Linked DNA regions of Arabidopsis thaliana. The protein of the gene in region 1 purifies or fractionates together with the protein of each later gene. This does not show direct contact. Each region holds a gene or a part of one and is shown in the gene's direction. Other genes may lie near its edges.

Region 1 (6,229 bases):
CAATATAAAAATCATATACACAAATAAATGATGGCTAGGAATCGAAAAAGATGTGTCCTCGTGGGTTTTTAGAATTGAAAGCGTCAAAAAAGAAACACTAGAGCTTTCAGATTTCAAGTATACAGCGAAGAGTAATGAGATGCCTTGAATATGGAATGGGAAAGTATCTCAGTATGGCGTAGAGTACCAACGCGTTATGGTGTATGAATGGGAAAAAATACATTCATTCAACCATATTTTATACTCCTAATATTTATATTTATTCGTATCGTGTGATTTTTTCATTAATGTGGACAAAAGTTATTGAGTACTTTTAGGTTTTAACTGGGGATCCACCCCCAGCATTAACGTCGGCTTCGAGTACCGAAATAAAATAAACGGTGTAGTAATGACGAAATAACATAAATAAGTGTCGAATAGCTCCAACACGTAGAACAAACGCAAGAAAACAAATGTTAAATGGTCAGTTTATGAAGATATAAAAACAAGGAGTATCAAACTTGAATTAAGGTTTTAAGAACATTTTGAGTGATTCAATTGCTTCTTTTATACAAAAAGTTTAAACTCAGATTACGTACGCCCACGTTCCCTTGAAGTATATTTTTAATTTTTCCTAATGCGGTTGTAATATATTTTTATAAAGATTTTAATTAAATGGTGATCAAATGTGTTAGATACTCTAACCACCACAGCCGTGGTAACTAACCACTGACCACTCGTACGTATAATACAATTTTAGAAATATACATACTTAATATGTGGTGTATTAGGTATTTTTGTAGCATTTTTTTTTGTTAAAATGTTACACGTTTGAATTATGAAGTTTACGTGCACGGTCGCAACTCGCAATATAGTTTTTATGATGTTTGTGGTTATTCGAATGACAATCATGTCCTACTACTAGCACTTCAAATCAAAGTACACGAACCTATAGCCTATAGGATGATGTATGTCTATTTATGCGAAACCAAACTATAAAAAATCTCGATTATTTATCAAATAAAATATTAGACCTAATTTACAAATGGCGGACAAAAACTCAACTTTAAAATGTAAACCTTTGGCACTATCAATATCAACATAAAAACGTTAAAAAAATAACGCAACTTTAGAATTTCATATACTACTTGCATCAACCATCTTCTGTATCTATCACTATCCGTATGGGAATATAAGTATCCTTTAAATTAATAAATCATCGCAAGTAGGAAGAGAATCAATACTCGAAAAGATATAAAAAAAACCCACCAAGACAACGATCATCTAATCACAGAAGAGAACAAAATTCTTAGAATCATAAAAGTAATTAATTAAGTAAGTCATCAAAGACAATCACCTGGAAACTCGCTTCCTAATCAAGATTTCTCGATAATCCTCTCAATCATAATCATTTCTCTACTATCAATAAAATAAGTAAACAAAGGTAGACCATAAACTAATCATTTGGTCTTCTACTATTAACGTATGAAGTAGCCCATACTATATCATATCGCTTTAAATTATACAAAGACAAATTCGAAACAATCTCGAGTACGTATGTATTATTAATTTTATGTTTACACTACGGTGTCGTTTTCAAATTTTTAATAATATTGTGGGTTTCTTTTTCGGGCTGGTGGGCTTTTTGTGTCCGCTTCCCAATACTTTTATTTTATAAATTAAAAATTAATCATCGTCTCTCTTGTGTCTCTCTGTTCATCACTTTTCTTCTTTTGATGTTCTTGTAGCGTCTGTACGAAATCTCACAAGGTTTCTTCTTCTCAGATTTAGAAATACTTGTGTGATATCTTCTGAGTAACCAAATTCTTGATAAAGTTTCTAGCTTTATTCAAACCCATTTGAAAAATCCGGTGGTGAATCGCCGGAGAAATGTGTTTTTCGTTTCTCCACTGAGTTTTTTTTGTTAAGAAATCTGTTAAAACTCTAGATTTCAAACGAATGACATTTTCTGAGATTGAGGAACATTGTGAATCGAGGACTGGAGTGAAGATTCTCTGATGAGTGATTCAGAAGAAGACGAAGAAGAAGAAGAAGCTAGTGAAGTCATTTTAAGCAGCGTCGTTCAGAAGAAGAAGAAGAAGAATCTGCGTTTCGGTGAAGAAGTAGAGAGACGAGACGGTTTGGTGTTGTTAGCTCAATCTACTCCAATGGTGAGATCGAGATCTCAAGGAACGACTCGGCGCGTGACTCCCACGCCTTTAGTAGATGTTGAGAAGCCGCTACCAAACGGAGATCTTTACATCGGAAGTTTCTCCGGTGGGTTTCCACATGGATCCGGGAAGTATCTATGGAAAGATGGGTGCATGTACGAAGGAGATTGGAAACGAGGGAAAGCTTCAGGGAAAGGCAAATTCTCATGGCCAAGTGGAGCTACTTACGAAGGTGAATTCAAATCTGGGAGAATGGAAGGTTTTGGTACTTTCACTGGAGCTGATGGAGATACTTATAGAGGAACTTGGGTTGCTGATAGAAAACACGGACATGGACAAAAGCGTTATGCAAATGGAGATTTTTATGAAGGTACTTGGAGAAGGAATCTACAAGATGGTAGAGGTAGGTATGTGTGGAGAAATGGGAATCAGTATACTGGAGAGTGGCGTAGTGGTGTGATTTCTGGGAAAGGTTTGCTTGTTTGGCCTAATGGGAATCGATATGAAGGTTTGTGGGAGAATGGGATTCCTAAAGGGAATGGTGTGTTTACTTGGAGTGATGGGAGTTCTTGTGTTGGTGCTTGGAATGAGAGTAATATTATGAGGAGTTTCTTTAATGGTGTTGAGAAGAATGATTTGATTGTGGGGAATAGGAAGAGATCTTCTGTTGATAGTGGAGCTGGGAGTTTGGGAGGTGAGAAAGTTTTTCCAAGAATCTGTATTTGGGAATCTGATGGTGAAGCTGGAGATATCACTTGTGATATTATTGATAATGTTGAAGCTTCCATGATTTATAGAGATAGGATCTCTGTTGATCGTGATGGGTTTAGGCAGTTTAAGAAGAATCCTTGTTGGTTTAATGGTGAGGCTAAGAAACCTGGACAGACTATTTCTAAAGGGCATAAGAAATATGATTTGATGCTGAATTTGCAATTAGGAATCAGGTAAATATCTCAAATTTGGTGGATTGGTGTTTTTGTTTGGTGTGTGATGGCTTTCTCTGTTGTTTCTAATGAAGGTTGTGTGTGATTGAATTAGGTATTCTGTTGGCAAACATGCTTCGATTGTTCGTGATCTTAAACAGACTGATTTCGATCCAAAGGAGAAATTTTGGACAAGGTTTCCACCAGAAGGGACTAAGACAACACCGCCGCATCAGTCAGTGGATTTCAGGTGGAAGGATTATTGCCCTTTAGTGTTCAGGTAACTTTTTAGCTTTTTTATTTTTATGAAAAGTGTTTCAATTTAGCAAATTGCTGAATGCGTTTTAAGTTTGATGATGTGGCTATACCCAAATTTGGGCTTAGTTGATAAGATTGTGGACGTATTTGTGATGAATTGTGTTTCTTTTTGGGCAAATTTTGTTTGTAGACGTCTCAGGGAGCTTTTCCAAGTGGATCCAGCTAAGTATATGCTAGCTATATGTGGAAATGATGCTCTCCGCGAACTATCTTCACCTGGAAAGAGTGGAAGCTTTTTTTACCTAACTCAAGATGATAGATTTATGATCAAAACGGTGAAGAAATCAGAAGTCAAGGTTAGTAGTTGTTGGCTCTTCTTGTTTTTGACCTTTCTCTTGTCATATTTGAAAATGCTTGTCTGTTCAAGTTAATTTACTTGATTAGCGGATGGGACACCCTTTTTGTTTGTTTGTTTCTTTGCTTTCACATTACTTTCTCAATCATAAACTCCACTAAGTCTGTGATTAGCTAAAGAAATTTGACCTGAAGTGTTTGTCTTCTTCTATCCAGGTTCTTCTAAGAATGCTTCCAAGTTACTACAAACATGTCTGCCAATACGAAAACTCCCTTGTGACTAGATTCTACGGTGTTCATTGTGTCAAACCTGTTGGTGGCCAAAAGGTATGTGTTTGTTCATCTAAAGCTTCATGGGTCTCTTAGTGTCAAGAAAATTTACTGTTTTGTTTACCATTTTTGATCAGACTCGGTTTATCGTTATGGGAAACTTATTCTGCTCCGAGTATAGAATCCAGAGACGGTTTGACCTCAAAGGGTCTTCTCATGGGCGTAGCACTGCAAAGCCTGAAGGAGAAATTGATGAGACCACGACTCTCAAGGACCTTGATCTCAATTTTTCTTTCCGTCTTCAGAGAAACTGGTATCAAGAGCTTATGAAGTAAGCTCCATGCTTCTCACTATTTTTTGCGTATGCAAAGTATTCAGCTACCTAAACATATGCTAATGCTGATCGGTATTCATGATCAGGCAAATAAAACGCGATTGTGAGTTCTTGGAAGCAGAGAGAATAATGGATTATAGCCTTTTAGTTGGTGTTCACTTCCGTGATGACAACACAGGAGAAAAGATGGGGCTTTCTCCATTCGTTTTGAGATCTGGTAAATTATACATCATTGATCATTCTCTATATGTGTCCCCCCGCTGAAGTCGACCTATCGTGAGATTTATGTCAATCTTATGCAGGTAGGATAGATTCATATCAGAATGAAAAATTCATGCGCGGTTGTCGCTTCCTAGAGGCAGAACTTCAAGACATGGACCGGATTTTAGCTGGCAGGTAACAATCATTGATCCGGGTTTCATTTTTAATGTTAAGAAGTTGACTTCACAGAGGAAGCTTTTTGCATTCATAGCCATTGAGACATGAAGTGGTTGAGAGATTCAATTTCGGATTAAGTATATAATATATGTAGGAATGATTAAATGTGCTTGGCAATCTTGTGTGGGGAGTGTTTAAACAAGTCATGTGGTCCTGTTTGCTAGAAAAGAATCAATCAATTCATGATCCATCAATTTTTGCTTAATATTCAATCTTGTGTTAACAGGAAACCATCGATCAGATTAGGCGCAAACATGCCAGCAAAAGCTGAACGAATGGCCCGGAGAAGCGATTTTGATCAGTATTCATCAGGAGGAGCCAGTTATCCATCACACGGTGAGATGTACGAAGTTGTTCTCTACTTTGGAGTCATTGACATCTTGCAAGACTACGACATAACCAAAAAGATCGAGCATGCGTATAAGTCACTGCAAGCCGATCCTGCTTCGATCTCAGCTGTTGATCCTAAACTCTATTCAAAGAGGTTCAGAGACTTCATCAGTAGGATCTTCATTGAAGAGGGCTAAAGACAAGAAGGCTAAAGTTTTTAACTAACATTCTCGGCTCTACGGAAATGTGAAGAAAGCTGCGCGGGAAGAGTAAAAAGGTAAATCTCAAGGATAGAAGAAAAGCGATTTCGGAATTTTATGTTTATATATTTTGAGATGACCAATCAAGTTTTTGGGTTGGGGAGGGGCTTTATTTATTTTTGTGGTGAGCCGTTTATATATATAATATTTATATATGTGAATATAGATTGAAGGTTTTAGTACATAGGCAGACAAGAAATTACAAGGAAAAAAGGGTTTGGTAAATTCCGAAAATGTGGAATAAAGTAAAGTGTACAAGTAAAAAAATGAAAGATAGTAATACCATTAATTAGTTCTCTTAATCCCATATTCTCATAGGATCCCTCCTTAACCATCCAAAGTTAAGGGGTCCATTATTTTGTTGTTGTTTATTTTCTTTCAATACAACTTTACCACTTGCATAATCTATGAACCTAAAGCAATGTCAATGGTAAACAGTAAATGCTAAAATAGTTGATTAGTAAAATAGTATATGGTCAAAGAAGGAAGAGTTGAATTGGGGTTGGTTTCATGAAAAGTAGATAAAGCTAAACTAGCACACCACATGTCTTTTCTTTGCATTCTTTTTGTCTAAATCTCTTAAGTCTAGTTTTTTTCATATGTGATAGCTTCACAAAGTATAAGACTGTTATTCAAATTAAAGTCTTAGATCTTTTAATAAAAACTAAAAGTCTAAGAAGCCTGAAACGGTTTGTTTATCTATGAATTCATTTAATTACGCTTGGATTCTGATCAACAATCCATTGCATCATCGTTAATTCTCAAAAAAACTAAAACTGGTTTTTTCAGACTTGACATGGTTTTATATTTTGTTTACATTAAAAGAATTTGTATATTTTTTCTTTCCAAAGTAAACAGTAGTGAGTAGACAATTATTGTTTTTCATTAAGTTTAATACTTTCTACAGTCCAT
Region 2 (5,113 bases), on another chromosome or scaffold:
ACGAAAGAGAACGCTGCTTGTGCTCTGCTCCGGTTATCTCAAGTGGAGGAAAACAAAATCACGATTGGGAGATCAGGAGCGATTCCTTTACTAGTGAACCTTCTAGAAAATGGCGGATTCAGAGCGAAGAAAGACGCGTCGACGGCTTTATACTCGTTGTGTTCGACGAACGAGAACAAAACCAGAGCTGTTGAATCTGGGATTATGAAGCCGTTAGTGGAGTTAATGATTGATTTTGAATCGGATATGGTTGATAAATCAGCGTTTGTTATGAATCTGTTAATGTCGGCGCCGGAATCGAAGCCGGCGGTTGTGGAAGAAGGAGGAGTTCCGGTGTTGGTTGAGATTGTTGAAGCGGGAACACAGAGACAGAAGGAGATAAGTGTGTCGATATTGTTGCAGCTTTGTGAGGAGAGTGTTGTGTATCGAACCATGGTGGCTCGTGAAGGAGCGGTTCCTCCGCTCGTGGCTTTATCGCAGGGTAGTGCGAGTCGTGGTGCTAAGGTAAAGGCTGAGGCGTTGATAGAGCTTCTTAGGCAACCCAGACAACAACAACAACAACAACAACACTTTGAATCTAACGACAACGAGAGATAACACTTTAGTTTGGGCTTTTTATTAATGGGCCTTTGTAGAATACATATCTTGTTAATTATTTGGACGGCCCAAGCTGAACACATATCTTGTTAATTATTGGTCGATGTGTTTTGCATCAAAGTTGCATTACTTGCGTAGAATGATCTATACAAGAGTAGCATCGAAACAAAACAAATACACGTACTGTCTATTTAGGAGATAATGTTGTGAACGATTTAGAGAACAAAATCCCTATAGAACTAACAAGACAAAAAATAAAAAAGAGCAATAGATTCTTTCACAAACAATAATGGAGTACTACACTGTCAACACAGAAACAAATGCAAGACTAAAACAAAAAGCTAATGTCCCCACAAATAGGAAGATGGGTTAAGGATATGGTTCAACTCAAGATTTTCTTACTTTTTTCAAAACAACATTCAATTTAAGGATGCATTTATTGTATAAAGGTTTTGGTTGGATAAATTTAACATTCATTCAAAAAGACTAAAACAAAAAGAAAATTAAAAACCATGCGATATGCTTTTTTTATCACTATGGAACAAAAAAACAATGAAAAGTTGAAAACCGTAAACTACATGTAGAATTAGGCATGGGCATTTGGGGTAACCGGTCCGGTTTCGGTTCGGAAACTTAAGTATTTCAGTTAGCAACAAAATCACTGAAGTAGGCCAAAATTAAAGTTGGGTTTGTAATGACAAAATTTCGGTTCAGTTCAAACAAAAAACAAATATTTTTGGTTTGGTGGTCCTCAATCAAACCGGCCATCCAATGATGGACTTTCAGGCCAAAAGTTAAAACCGAAATCTAAGCCGGCGAATTGCCAAATTTGAGCTCAGTTGGGTTCAACCAAACTTTCAGTTCAGGTTGGTTCGACCAAACCTCAGTGGCCAATTCGATTCGGTCCGAGTGCCATGCTTATGTAGATTGTAGAAAGCACCACTTTGAAAAGTTTTCCTATAGCAATGAACTACAATCACATCATCCTTAATAGTATTGACCAAAAAAATCAATAATATTGACAATAAATAATCTGTATTGACAATTACATCATGAGCGAAAAAAACAAAAAGGTTAATTAACACATGAGCTGTTTCACATGATGATTTGCTCATCAATGACAAATTAAAATTTGTTGATTTTTTCTTACGGCGACACGCCTACCACCATTTTCTCAGCCATTGGCTACACACACTTCGCCACGTTTTTTTTTTACTTTGGGTCAACGGTTCTGTTTTCAGTCAGCGGCTCTGTTTCGGTTTATAATACTAACTTTATTTCGGACAGCCGACAGATCATTCTCATTTTTCTTTCTTTATCTATTTTTGTACTAAGAATAATTCATAGATTTTTTCCTAGAAAAATTCATAGATTTAATTGGTTCATTGAGATAGAGATAGAGATATAAATGTGTTTCACGAACAAGAACAAACACATCAAGTCTCTCTGTTTCTTGTTTTTCTCTCTCGCTTAACTTTCACAAGAAAAAAAAAAGATGAAAGAATCATTCAAAGTGTGTTTCTGTTGTGTAAGAAACTTCAAGGTGAAATCAAGTGAGCCACCTGAAGAAATCAAGAACCTTTTCCATGATTACTCTCAAGACGACAGGATGTCTGCTGATGAGATGCTCAGATTCGTGATCCAAGTTCAAGGAGAAACACACGCTGATATCAACTACGTGAAGGATATCTTCCACAGACTTAAACATCACGGCGTTTTTCATCCTCGTGGAATTCATCTTGAAGGATTCTACCGTTATCTTCTTAGTGATTTCAACTCTCCATTGCCTCTGACCCGCGAGGTAAAGATTTAGGAATATAAGATCTGTTTACATTGAGAGAAAGAGTTTTGTTTAAAGAGATTTTGGTTTCAGGTTTGGCAAGATATGAATCAGCCATTATCGCATTACTTCTTGTACACGGGACATAACTCTTACTTGACTGGGAATCAGTTGAACAGTAATAGCAGCATCGAACCGATTGTGAAAGCTCTGAGAAATGGAGTTCGTGTCATTGAGCTTGATTTATGGCCTAACTCTTCAGGAAAAGAAGCTGAAGTTCGTCATGGAGGGTTTGAATCTTACCATAAAACCACTTCTTGAATCACTTACAAATTTAGTTGTTTTCTTGATTTGTTTTGGTTATGATCATCTCAGGACGTTAACGAGTCGTGAAGATCTGCAGAAATGTCTTAACGTGGTTAAGGAGAACGCGTTTCAGGTGTCTGCTTATCCTGTTGTGCTTACTTTAGAAGACCATTTAACTCCAATTCTTCAGAAGAAAGTCGCTAAGGTTAGATTCTGATAAATTCATGGAATCTTGTTTAGAGCATAGAGTTTGATTGATGGTGAAACTAAAAATATATGTAGATGGTGAGTAAGACGTTTGGGGGATCATTGTTTCAATGTACGGACGAAACTACAGAGTGTTTTCCTTCACCAGAATCACTCAAGAATAAGATCTTGATCTCAACAAAGCCACCAAAAGAGTATCTTCAGACCCAAATCTCAAAAGGTTCAACAACGGATGAATCCACTAGAGCTAAAGTAAGAAATAAAAACATAAAGTAATCATTAGTGTTTCTTGATGTTTTCTGAGTGTCTTGTGTTGTGACAGAAAATTTCGGATGCAGAAGAACAAGTTCAAGAAGAAGATGAGGAGAGTGTAGCGATTGAATACAGAGACTTAATCTCGATTCACGCTGGGAACCGCAAAGGAGGGTTGAAGAATTGCTTGAATGGAGATCCTAACCGAGTCATACGGTTAAGCATGAGTGAGCAGTGGCTTGAGACTCTGGCAAAAACCCGTGGACCCGATTTAGTAAAGTTCACGCAGCGGAATCTTTTGAGGATATTTCCCAAGACTACACGGTTTGACTCATCTAACTATGATCCTCTCGTTGGGTGGATTCATGGGGCTCAAATGGTTGCCTTCAATATGCAAGTAATAGTTTTAACACTATCCTCTATAGTATATAAGCAGAGATTCTTAATAGTAAATACCAACTATGTTTTGTGTAAATGCAGAGCCATGGGAGGTATCTGTGGATGATGCAAGGAATGTTTAAAGCCAATGGTGGATGTGGCTATGTGAAAAAGCCTGATGTTTTGCTCTCCAATGGTCCTGAAGGTGAAATCTTTGACCCTTGTAGTCAAAACCTCCCGATCAAGACAACTCTTAAGGTTTGGTCTTTGTCTCAGTTTCTGTTTCCTGTTCTTGAAAAGTAAGGAAACATCTTAGCTTCGTGTCTTTGTGGTGTATGATTAGGTGAAGATCTACACTGGAGAAGGATGGAATATGGACTTTCCTTTAGATCACTTTGACCGATACTCTCCTCCTGATTTCTACGCAAAGGCAAGTGTTCATTCATATGTAGAAAACGCAATAAGAACATGGTTTAATATCCCTATGAAGAAGCTAATAAACCCTAATTAGGTTTCTTGGCTATCAAGTCATTGGATATATCTCAAATGTAGTTGTTTTCCTTTCAGGTCGGAATCGCAGGGGTTCCATTGGACACAGCAAGTTACAGAACAGAAATAGATAAAGACGAATGGTTTCCAATTTGGGACAAGGAGTTTGAGTTCCCATTACGTGTTCCTGAGTTATCTCTTCTGTGTATCACAGTCAAAGATTACGACAGTAACACTCAGAACGATTTCGCTGGCCAGACATGTTTTCCGTTGTCGGAGGTAAGGCCAGGTATTCGTGCCGTTCGGCTCCACGATCGTGCCGGAGAGGTCTACAAGCACGTGAGACTGCTCATGCGGTTTGTCTTGGAGCCTCGTTAGCGCTTCGTGGATAATGTTCATTTCATCACTCGTGTCAATGTCGGTACACGTTTTTTATGTTTGTAATGTTAAGGTGTCGGTATACATTAGTCAGTCATACTAAGCCATACGATAATAAGAGATGTGAAAAGAAAAAATTAAACGTAATTAAGATCAGCAAAATTATGAAACGTATGACTTTAATATAAACAATTTGTTTGAACAGTTGATAAAGATAATTTTGTTTAAGCTGTTGTTATGGTCCACTAACCACTAACGCCAATTGCTAAATTATGGCAATTCACACTAATGCGAAATTTCATTATGGCAATTCACACTATGACACTAATTAAAGCAAAACTGCTTCATAATGGCAATTATCACTAAAGCAGAATTGCTTTACAATGCCACAAACCAATTTTCAAATACTGTTTGTTGAAATATCACTATCACAATAGAAAATAAGTAGATGGATCGTCGTCATTGTAGAGCAAACAAAGAGTGTTTTTAATGTTCAACAAACAATGTTATTGTCAAGTTCTCTACGATGATCAGGGCCAGCCCAAAATTATTTCAGAGTCAAAAACACAGCTTTCTTTGTTTGAGTCTTATTGATGGACTAACTTAAGTATCCAGAGTTTGGTAAACCAAATAGATACTAAATTTCAGACACGGTCAGAGAAACAATGGAGAATTTGGGTTGAATCTAGGAAGGCCAATCTTGGTTCCAAGAGACTGAACATCAGC
Region 3 (4,358 bases), on another chromosome or scaffold:
CGAACTCTGCTTTTAAGATTGGTAAGAATTCTTAGATGTTTCCTTACTTTTCTACGACTTATGTTGTTGATCGAAACACTTTCATGGTCTATTCTTCTCACTAAAGTTTCGTCAGTTTCAGTTTTACGCATCATACTATTTTCACTTTGTCTAAACTCACATCTTCCTCTGTTTTCTTTTTCGAGTGTTCTTGCAGGTTTCTCTCCAAGCAAATAGCTAGAAATGGAAGGCTCATCAAGCTTCACTACAACCAACGCAAAGAAAGAAAAACAGAGAGCGTTCACCCAATTTCCCCGTGATTTCATTATATACTATCATCGTAATCAAGAACTCTGCTTTGAGACTCTGCTTTAGGGTTTGGTAAGAATCTGATGTTTCTCCTTTTTGTTTGACGAATTGAGCCGTGTATTTTCTGAAACATCTTGATTTTGGGAATTGTAGTCATAATGTTAAAGAGAGTTATTATAGTGTAATTTATCTTTGAGAAATTTCTGCCATCTAAACTGTTTCTGACAATTACAGGTGAGAGAGAGAAGAGATAAATGATCCGTCACAGTCACGACAAACGATCCACGGCAACCTTTGGCGGTGATAGCGGGCTTGTTGCGCCGGGGTATCATCTTGGACTTCCAGTTGACTACTCGCCGTGATGTTCAGGGTTAGTTTCATCAATGCTCTTCTTATATGTCTCTCTCAGTCGTTACTCTGTTAAAAGCCATATAATAAATCGTAGACTTGGTGAGTTATTTGGTCGGATTTTATAGATTAACTCTCTCATTCATCCATATGTAGCTCGTGTATTTATGATTTTTATGATTTTTTGTCATTGCATATTTTCAAACTTGTTAGTAATTTTGGAATGTTGATTTGATAAAACTGATTCCAACTCCACGAATCCTGGTTTATCAAAACTGTGATTGTATCATCGTACACACATCAAATAAAAACTTTTACTTTGAACATTTTCAAATGCTAACTTTTTCCGACAAATTAATTACATGGTTTGTGAAAGATTCCCAACTCTTAACGTTTTTGTTCTCGCTGTCGCAGGTTTTCTTATCAAGGAAGGTTACGTTGACCCGAATAAGTTCATTAGCATAGACATCTTTCCTCACGAAAGGCAAATATGACCAATGTTGACATTTTACATACTCGGTAAAATATTTGTTAGTTGAGATTATTGCAATTTTTGGCAGAAAATATTACCACACTTTGTTGACATACAAATAAGTTCAGGTTTGGTCCATACACCACATTCTCACTAGCCAACATGCAAATTCAACTAACCACATTCAATATCATCAAACATCCTTGAAATTTTAACATAAATTTGGCGAGTATGCGGAAGAACTAGTGCATTACAACTTTATTGTACCGCAATTGGCTGATTGGTTTCATAAATATTGAATCATAACTTAGAGATTTTTTCACATTTGGTGAGCATCCGGAAAAACTAGTAAAAAAATGAATTAGAATAGTAAAACAAATCGTACTAGAAATTTTACAGACAGTTAAAAACACGTATAATTTTAGCCAGTGTTAATTTTTCTTATTTGCATTTTAAACAACAAAGACAAAATACATTATGTGCAACTCCTTTATTTTACTTTTTTGTATACAAGATAAATAAATTAATTTGAATATACACTAAAAAATCAAACAGAAAAAAGAAGAAGAAGTAAAATAGTAATTATTTAAAAGACAACAGAAGAAGTAAAAAAAGTAAAAAGATTGCAAAACAGTCGGAAGGTTGAATGGCTGAGATTAATCGAACGCTTCAATGGCAATTATTTCCGGCCATCACTTTCTTCTCTACTTCTTTCTTTCTCTCTCTAGTTGTTGTTCTCTCTCTCTCTCGCATCCTCCAATTCATCGTCCTCACGTTCCCTTTTGTTTATTCATCTTCCTTCCTTCTTCACATTTCTGATTTTCTCTATTTGGGGGGTTTGTTTCCACATTATACATATCTAGGGTTTTGAGATGGTTAATTGAAAGATAATGGTCGAAGTTTCGGAGGAATTGGCTTCACATTGTGGGTGTTTCTGGCTTCCTCAGGTTTAAATCTGAGGTTGATCTCTTTTGTTTTTTGGTAAATTGTGACATATTTTGGCTCGAAGAAGAAGAAGAAGAGGCAATGAGCGCATCAAGGTTCATAAAGTGCGTCACCGTTGGTGATGGAGCTGTTGGTAAAACCTGTTTGCTGATTTCTTATACCAGCAACACCTTTCCCACGGTATTCATCAATCATTCTCCCTCCTTTTTTTGATATCTGATTCATTTGATTCTGATTGTGCCATATATGAATTGGGATCCATACATACTAAAAATGTTGTATACATTTCCATTGGAACAGGATTATGTTCCGACTGTTTTCGATAACTTTAGTGCAAATGTGGTTGTTAATGGAGCCACGGTGAATCTTGGATTGTGGGATACTGCAGGTAATGAATGATGATCCAATTCATAATCCTTGGTGAGAGAGCTTTCCTTGATGAATCGGTCGAAATTATGTTTTTGGTTTATGCAGGGCAAGAGGACTATAACAGATTAAGACCTTTGAGTTACCGTGGTGCTGATGTTTTCATTCTTGCCTTCTCTCTCATTAGTAAGGCTAGTTATGAGAATGTTTCCAAGAAGGTCAGTTTCGTCCGAACTGGTCGACTATTTAACAATTGAGAGTTCCAAATTTTGATGCTTCTTTTCTTTTACAGTGGATTCCTGAGTTGAAGCACTATGCTCCTGGTGTCCCAATTGTCCTTGTTGGAACCAAACTAGGTTACTTCCTCCTCTCACATTTGTCCTTGTTTATGCATTTATTTATATATATGTCTGATTCCCATGCTTACACTGCCATTTTCCTTTTCACTTTATTAAGCTGCTCTGGTATAATATATCATGACATTAGTGGACATAAAACTTCACCTTCTCTTGATTGTGGTTAAAACTTGTACATGTTCAAGATGTATTCGTTAGGTGAAACTGAGGGTAGTTTTCAGAGAATATCATTGGTCAACAGGCTTCTTCTTGTATCTTGCACTTCTTGTGATAAAGCAACCATATCCTATAACACACGCCTTTAAGCATCCTCCAATGAAATAGCTACTGTATAGCAAGTGTATACCTTTATAAAAGACACTTGCAAGATCTTCAGTCAACTCATGATCCTGGCCTTTTTGATTGTCTAACCTTGGTTGTTGTCAGATCTTCGAGATGACAAACAGTTTTTCATCGACCATCCTGGTGCTGTCCCTATTACCACTGTTCAGGTAAGAATACAGTTATTTCCTCAGTGCAATTTTATCAGCTTTACCACCGTTAAGCATTTTCCCTCTCTGCATGGAAGGGAGAGGAGCTGAAGAAGCTAATTGGAGCGCCAGCTTACATCGAGTGCAGTTCAAAATCACAAGAGGTAAACGAATAAAAGACATCTCATGAATCATCTTTTCGGTGTTGGATTCTTCATCTTTTGATGAAAACAATGTGACTATAACTGCAGAACGTGAAGGGCGTGTTTGATGCAGCGATCAGAGTGGTCCTTCAACCTCCAAAGCAGAAGAAAAAGAAGAACAAAGCACAAAAGGCCTGCTCCATCTTGTAATAGCACTCATGGAAGTCAAGAAGCTCTTTGAGATGAGGATGACAGGGTGGTTTAAAAAAGTATCGCTTTTTCATTTTTGTTGTTGTTTTCCGTTTTCATTTGTGATCTCTTAGTTCCGTACAAAACGAATTGTGAGGTTAATTCAACTTCTATTTTAACTGATAGCCGAGAAAGCTTGTCTAGTTATTTACAAATGTTTTATCAATTGTGATAATGTTACTAATCCACTTCACATGAAAATTCCATTTCGATTTCTCATTCTATTATTATAAGAACAAGAGAGATTGAGACGAAATACTGATATTACTATATTGGTTACCAACCGCAAAGAATAACAAACAGTGTGTTCTTCTTATACAACCTTGGAATTTTAAGGCTAAACCAAAAAACTGTCTGGTCCAGAACATGGATGTCTCGACCAGATTCCTTGTTAAAAACTTCCTGCTCTTTGATGTTATCAGAACGGGACTGTGTAAGGTAAGGCGTAGACATCAGCTTCTGGTAAAAGGCGAGCACATGGCCACCCCATTGTATTGCCTACTTGCTTGATCTCATTCTCTCTATTAAGTTGTTTGCATATTTCTGTGGTGCTACTTGGCGGCTTCTTCATGGACCACCAACATTCTTCATCTTCAGAGTTAATGAGGTCTACTCTTCTCTCGATCGTGTTAGGGACCCAATTCTCAACTACGTCCAAGAATTGCAACACCATGGATGGAGGGCAATTGCATAGGCTTTTAGGAGGTTGATAAGTTTCTCG
Region 4 (3,213 bases), on another chromosome or scaffold:
TATCTCGTTTTTAATTCCACTCTAGAATCATAATGTATTTTATATCTCATCATATTAACTTTAAGATTTGGAGAATTATACCCCATCGATGATTTTAATTTTGTATTCCCATAGAAAGCAATGTATATGCTCTTCTAGAGTCTTTTAATAAGATTTATACTACTTGATATACTAGATTATTTCATCGTTAGAAATTTTTCTTATTTTTTTTTTTTTTTACCATATTTATTTTCTCAATTTCTGGTGATAATTTAAGTTCTTGAAAAAACTTTGACCATCAAAAATATGATATCTTTTTAAGATACATTAAAATAGTCATTCATAAAAATTTCTATAAGTGATTATACCTTTAAATTAAGTTATTTATCAATCAATTTATTTCATAAAATAATCAAATATTATATATTAATATAATTTTAATGCAATATTGTAAAACCAATCAGAATAAAACTACTTTGTGCAAAATCTGGATTTTACATATATCTTGACAAAACTTTTATTTAGGGTAATATGAATTCGTGCAAGATTTGGGTAAAATGATTTCGTGCAAAATTACGACAAAACCATGAACAATTTTTTTTTAGATACCACAAAGATTTAGAGAAAAGAATCTTATAAAAAGAAAAATTATCTTGCAACGTTTTTAGTAAAAATAATAATAACACAATCAAATATATGGAAATCTTATAAAAAGATTTAGATAATAATAACACAAAGATTTAGATATATGGAATCTTATAAAAAGAAAAATTATCTTGAAATGTTTTTAGTAAAAATAATAATAACACAATCAAATATATGAAAATCAAATATTTAATATGGAAAAGTCAATATCTAAAAGTGATAAGATATGTATAACGTTTTAATCAAAGGAGTTAAATAAGGGATATCATATCAATCATAAATGGATTTTAGACAATATAATATTTATAAAATGATATTGAATATAGATGCAACTATTCAAAACTGGAATGCTAAAACATTAATACATGCTTGCATCACCCACCACCGGGTTATGAATAGTTACAAAGTTAGTTATATAATTATAAAATTGGTAATTTATATATTCAATATTGTAATAGTAAATCACAAAAATTAACAATTAACAAGCATGATTCTCTTCTTTAACGATTTTCTTTGTAGAATCATTGAATCATGCGATAGTAATTATAGAAACAAATGATAAGCATTATTCTCTTCTTTATTGAATCATTGAAAACATGCTTTTACCGATCTATACTATAATCATCGATCGGCTCATATTGTTTTGTTTCAATAATAGAAAATAAGTACTATGAACCATGAGTCGATAAGTAAACATGGTTCTTAAAAAAAATGTAAGAATCTCTATATCTACCTTTTAGAACGTGCTGATAACGTGTTATAACCAGAGAAAGAGATAAAAGAAATGAGTGTGTTATTCCATTGAGATAAATGGTTCTTTATATAGGAGTACAAAAAAAAGATAAAACCCTAAAAACATCTAGATGATGGGTTTAGATGAGGGCCTTATAATGGACATCCATCTTTATTCATAACAAAAATCAATTATAATGAAAATCGAAACATTTGTTTTTTTTTAGGAAAAGACCATATTTAATTAAATGTTTTGGTTTTCCTTAAATAAGTTTTCTATTTTTTTATTTATTTCCTCCCTTTTCATTATAACTGGTTGATTTTCTAATACAATTTTCCTCTTTAGAAACTATTAAAAAGAGCTGTGTCTGGCACGTGTCAATCATGTATAAAACAATATATTTGCGTAAATGCCATTGCCACACACTCACTCACTCGTAGTTTCGACGCTATCTCTAGAACATTCCGATAAACCACAAAGAAGAAGCAGAGCAAAAGTAAAGAAGAAGAAGAAAACAAACATGTCGTGGCAGACTTACGTCGACGATCACTTAATGTGCGATGTTGCAGGCAACCGCCTCACCGCCGCCGCAATTCTCGGCCAAGACGGTAGCGTCTGGGCTCAGAGCAACAATTTTCCTCAGGTTAGGGTTTATTTCTATACCGACTACTCAATTCTTATCATCTTGCTGTTTCTGGTTTGGTTCTATGTTGAAATCTGCAACCTTTGGTTTTGTTTAGCTACTAAACCACCAAAATTCAGCAATTTTCAATGTTTGGTTTTGATTTTCTGATTCATATGTTCTTGAGGTTATAGAGTGCAAAAGATGCATTAGAAGAAGTTCGAATCACAAGTTTAAAGCTCTTTTAAGAAGAAAGTTTTGACCTTTGGAAATAGACAAGTTCTTTGTACTGGTTATGTTGTTCATAAGTTATTAAGTTGCTTTCATGAGATGTTTAAGAGAGACTGAATTTGTTTCTCTTATAGTTTTTGTATTGTTGTTGTTTTAGGTGAAGCCTGAGGAAATTCAGGGCATCAAAGACGATTTTACTACACCTGGAACACTTGCCCCAACAGGATTGTTCCTTGGTGGTAACAAGTACATGGTAATCCAAGGAGAGCCTAATGCCGTCATTCGAGGAAAGAAGGTAACTAGACTGTTTGAATATTGTTTGATTTTTGATGAACTGTTGTTGATTTTGCTTCCATTGTAGGGAGCTGGTGGTGTTACCATCAAGAAGACCACCTTAGCTTTGGTATTTGGTATCTATGATGAACCAATGACTCCTGGACAATGCAATATGGTTGTGGAGAATCTCGGTGAGTACCTGATTGAATCGGGGCTCTGAAACTTAAGCTGCTACTATATTCATATTGCTTTATGTAATCTTCTAGTTGTGTCGTGAGAGAAAAACTATTCGATAATCCGACTGTGTATTACCTACCTTGTGATGGATCTTGGGGTTGTATGATTATTTCTAAAACAATATAGTATTGTCTACATTTGTGTCGAGTTGAAATATTTAATGAATGGCAGTGTGGTACCATAGCTTTAGAGTTCATTATTGGTTATGCAGATTGAGATTTTTGTGTATTATAGTGAGGATGATTAAGATCACAAGACTGTGGTTACACAATTGATATCAGACAAGTTTTCAGATAGAATGTCTGTACAACGATTCCACTGCAGGAAGAAAGACAAAATCGTTAGACGGTGTCACAATTTCTAGACCAAACTATTCAGGAACAAATTTTGCTTTTTCTTGCTATTGCTACATTTCTTTCAGATTTCGGTTACAGTGCCTGTGAATTCATAGTTTGCAAACTGAAGAACAACGAGATCATGAGACAGAGTT

What was found.
Region 2: the proteins of PIP5K1 (region 1) and PLC1 purify together in Arabidopsis thaliana (affinity purification with mass spectrometry, with the first as the bait; one study listed by BioGRID). This does not show direct contact.
Region 3: the proteins of PIP5K1 (region 1) and RAC6 purify together in Arabidopsis thaliana (affinity purification with mass spectrometry, with the first as the bait; one study listed by BioGRID). This does not show direct contact.
Region 4: the proteins of PIP5K1 (region 1) and PRF3 purify together in Arabidopsis thaliana (affinity purification with mass spectrometry, with the first as the bait; one study listed by BioGRID). This does not show direct contact.

The regions. Positions count from the first base shown.
Region 1 is NC_003070.9:7,733,056-7,739,284, forward strand, and holds PIP5K1 (phosphatidylinositol-4-phosphate 5-kinase 1), read left to right. Parts: upstream 1-1,605; 5' UTR 1,606-1,997; coding exon 1,998-3,094; intron 3,095-3,188; coding exon 3,189-3,353; intron 3,354-3,521; coding exon 3,522-3,687; intron 3,688-3,901; coding exon 3,902-4,012; intron 4,013-4,092; coding exon 4,093-4,286; intron 4,287-4,375; coding exon 4,376-4,506; intron 4,507-4,591; coding exon 4,592-4,685; intron 4,686-4,953; coding exon 4,954-5,254; 3' UTR 5,255-5,717; downstream 5,718-6,229. UniProt on the Arabidopsis thaliana protein: Catalyzes the synthesis of phosphatidylinositol 4,5-bisphosphate and phosphatidylinositol 3,4-bisphosphate.
Region 2 is NC_003076.8:23,703,731-23,708,843, reverse strand, and holds PLC1 (phospholipase C1), read left to right. Parts: upstream 1-1,840; 5' UTR 1,841-2,092; coding exon 2,093-2,398; intron 2,399-2,470; coding exon 2,471-2,667; intron 2,668-2,752; coding exon 2,753-2,888; intron 2,889-2,965; coding exon 2,966-3,142; intron 3,143-3,212; coding exon 3,213-3,539; intron 3,540-3,622; coding exon 3,623-3,778; intron 3,779-3,863; coding exon 3,864-3,950; intron 3,951-4,087; coding exon 4,088-4,387; 3' UTR 4,388-4,613; downstream 4,614-5,113. Other genes in the region: AT5G58680 (ARM repeat superfamily protein), read left to right, coding at 1-597; AT5G58660 (2-oxoglutarate (2OG) and Fe(II)-dependent oxygenase superfamily protein), read right to left, coding at 5,042-5,113. UniProt on the Arabidopsis thaliana protein: The production of the second messenger molecules diacylglycerol (DAG) and inositol 1,4,5-trisphosphate (IP3) is mediated by activated phosphatidylinositol-specific phospholipase C enzymes. Required for secondary responses to abscisic acid signals.
Region 3 is NC_003075.7:17,023,291-17,027,648, reverse strand, and holds RAC6 (RAC-like 6), read left to right. Parts: upstream 1-1,782; 5' UTR 1,783-2,134; coding exon 2,135-2,233; intron 2,234-2,353; coding exon 2,354-2,441; intron 2,442-2,527; coding exon 2,528-2,637; intron 2,638-2,711; coding exon 2,712-2,775; intron 2,776-3,201; coding exon 3,202-3,266; intron 3,267-3,343; coding exon 3,344-3,409; intron 3,410-3,496; coding exon 3,497-3,598; 3' UTR 3,599-3,812; downstream 3,813-4,358. Other genes in the region: AT4G35940 (uncharacterized protein), read right to left, coding at 4,056-4,358. UniProt on the Arabidopsis thaliana protein: May be involved in cell polarity control during the actin-dependent tip growth of pollen tubes.
Region 4 is NC_003076.8:22,909,375-22,912,587, reverse strand, and holds PRF3 (profilin), read left to right. Parts: upstream 1-1,877; coding exon 1,878-2,000; intron 2,001-2,367; coding exon 2,368-2,505; coding exon of another isoform or gene 2,506-2,571; coding exon 2,572-2,706; downstream 2,707-3,213. Other genes in the region: AT5G56590 (O-Glycosyl hydrolases family 17 protein), read right to left, coding at 3,152-3,213. UniProt on the Arabidopsis thaliana protein: Binds to actin monomers and regulates the organization of the actin cytoskeleton. Can increase the critical concentration (Cc) of actin assembly in vitro.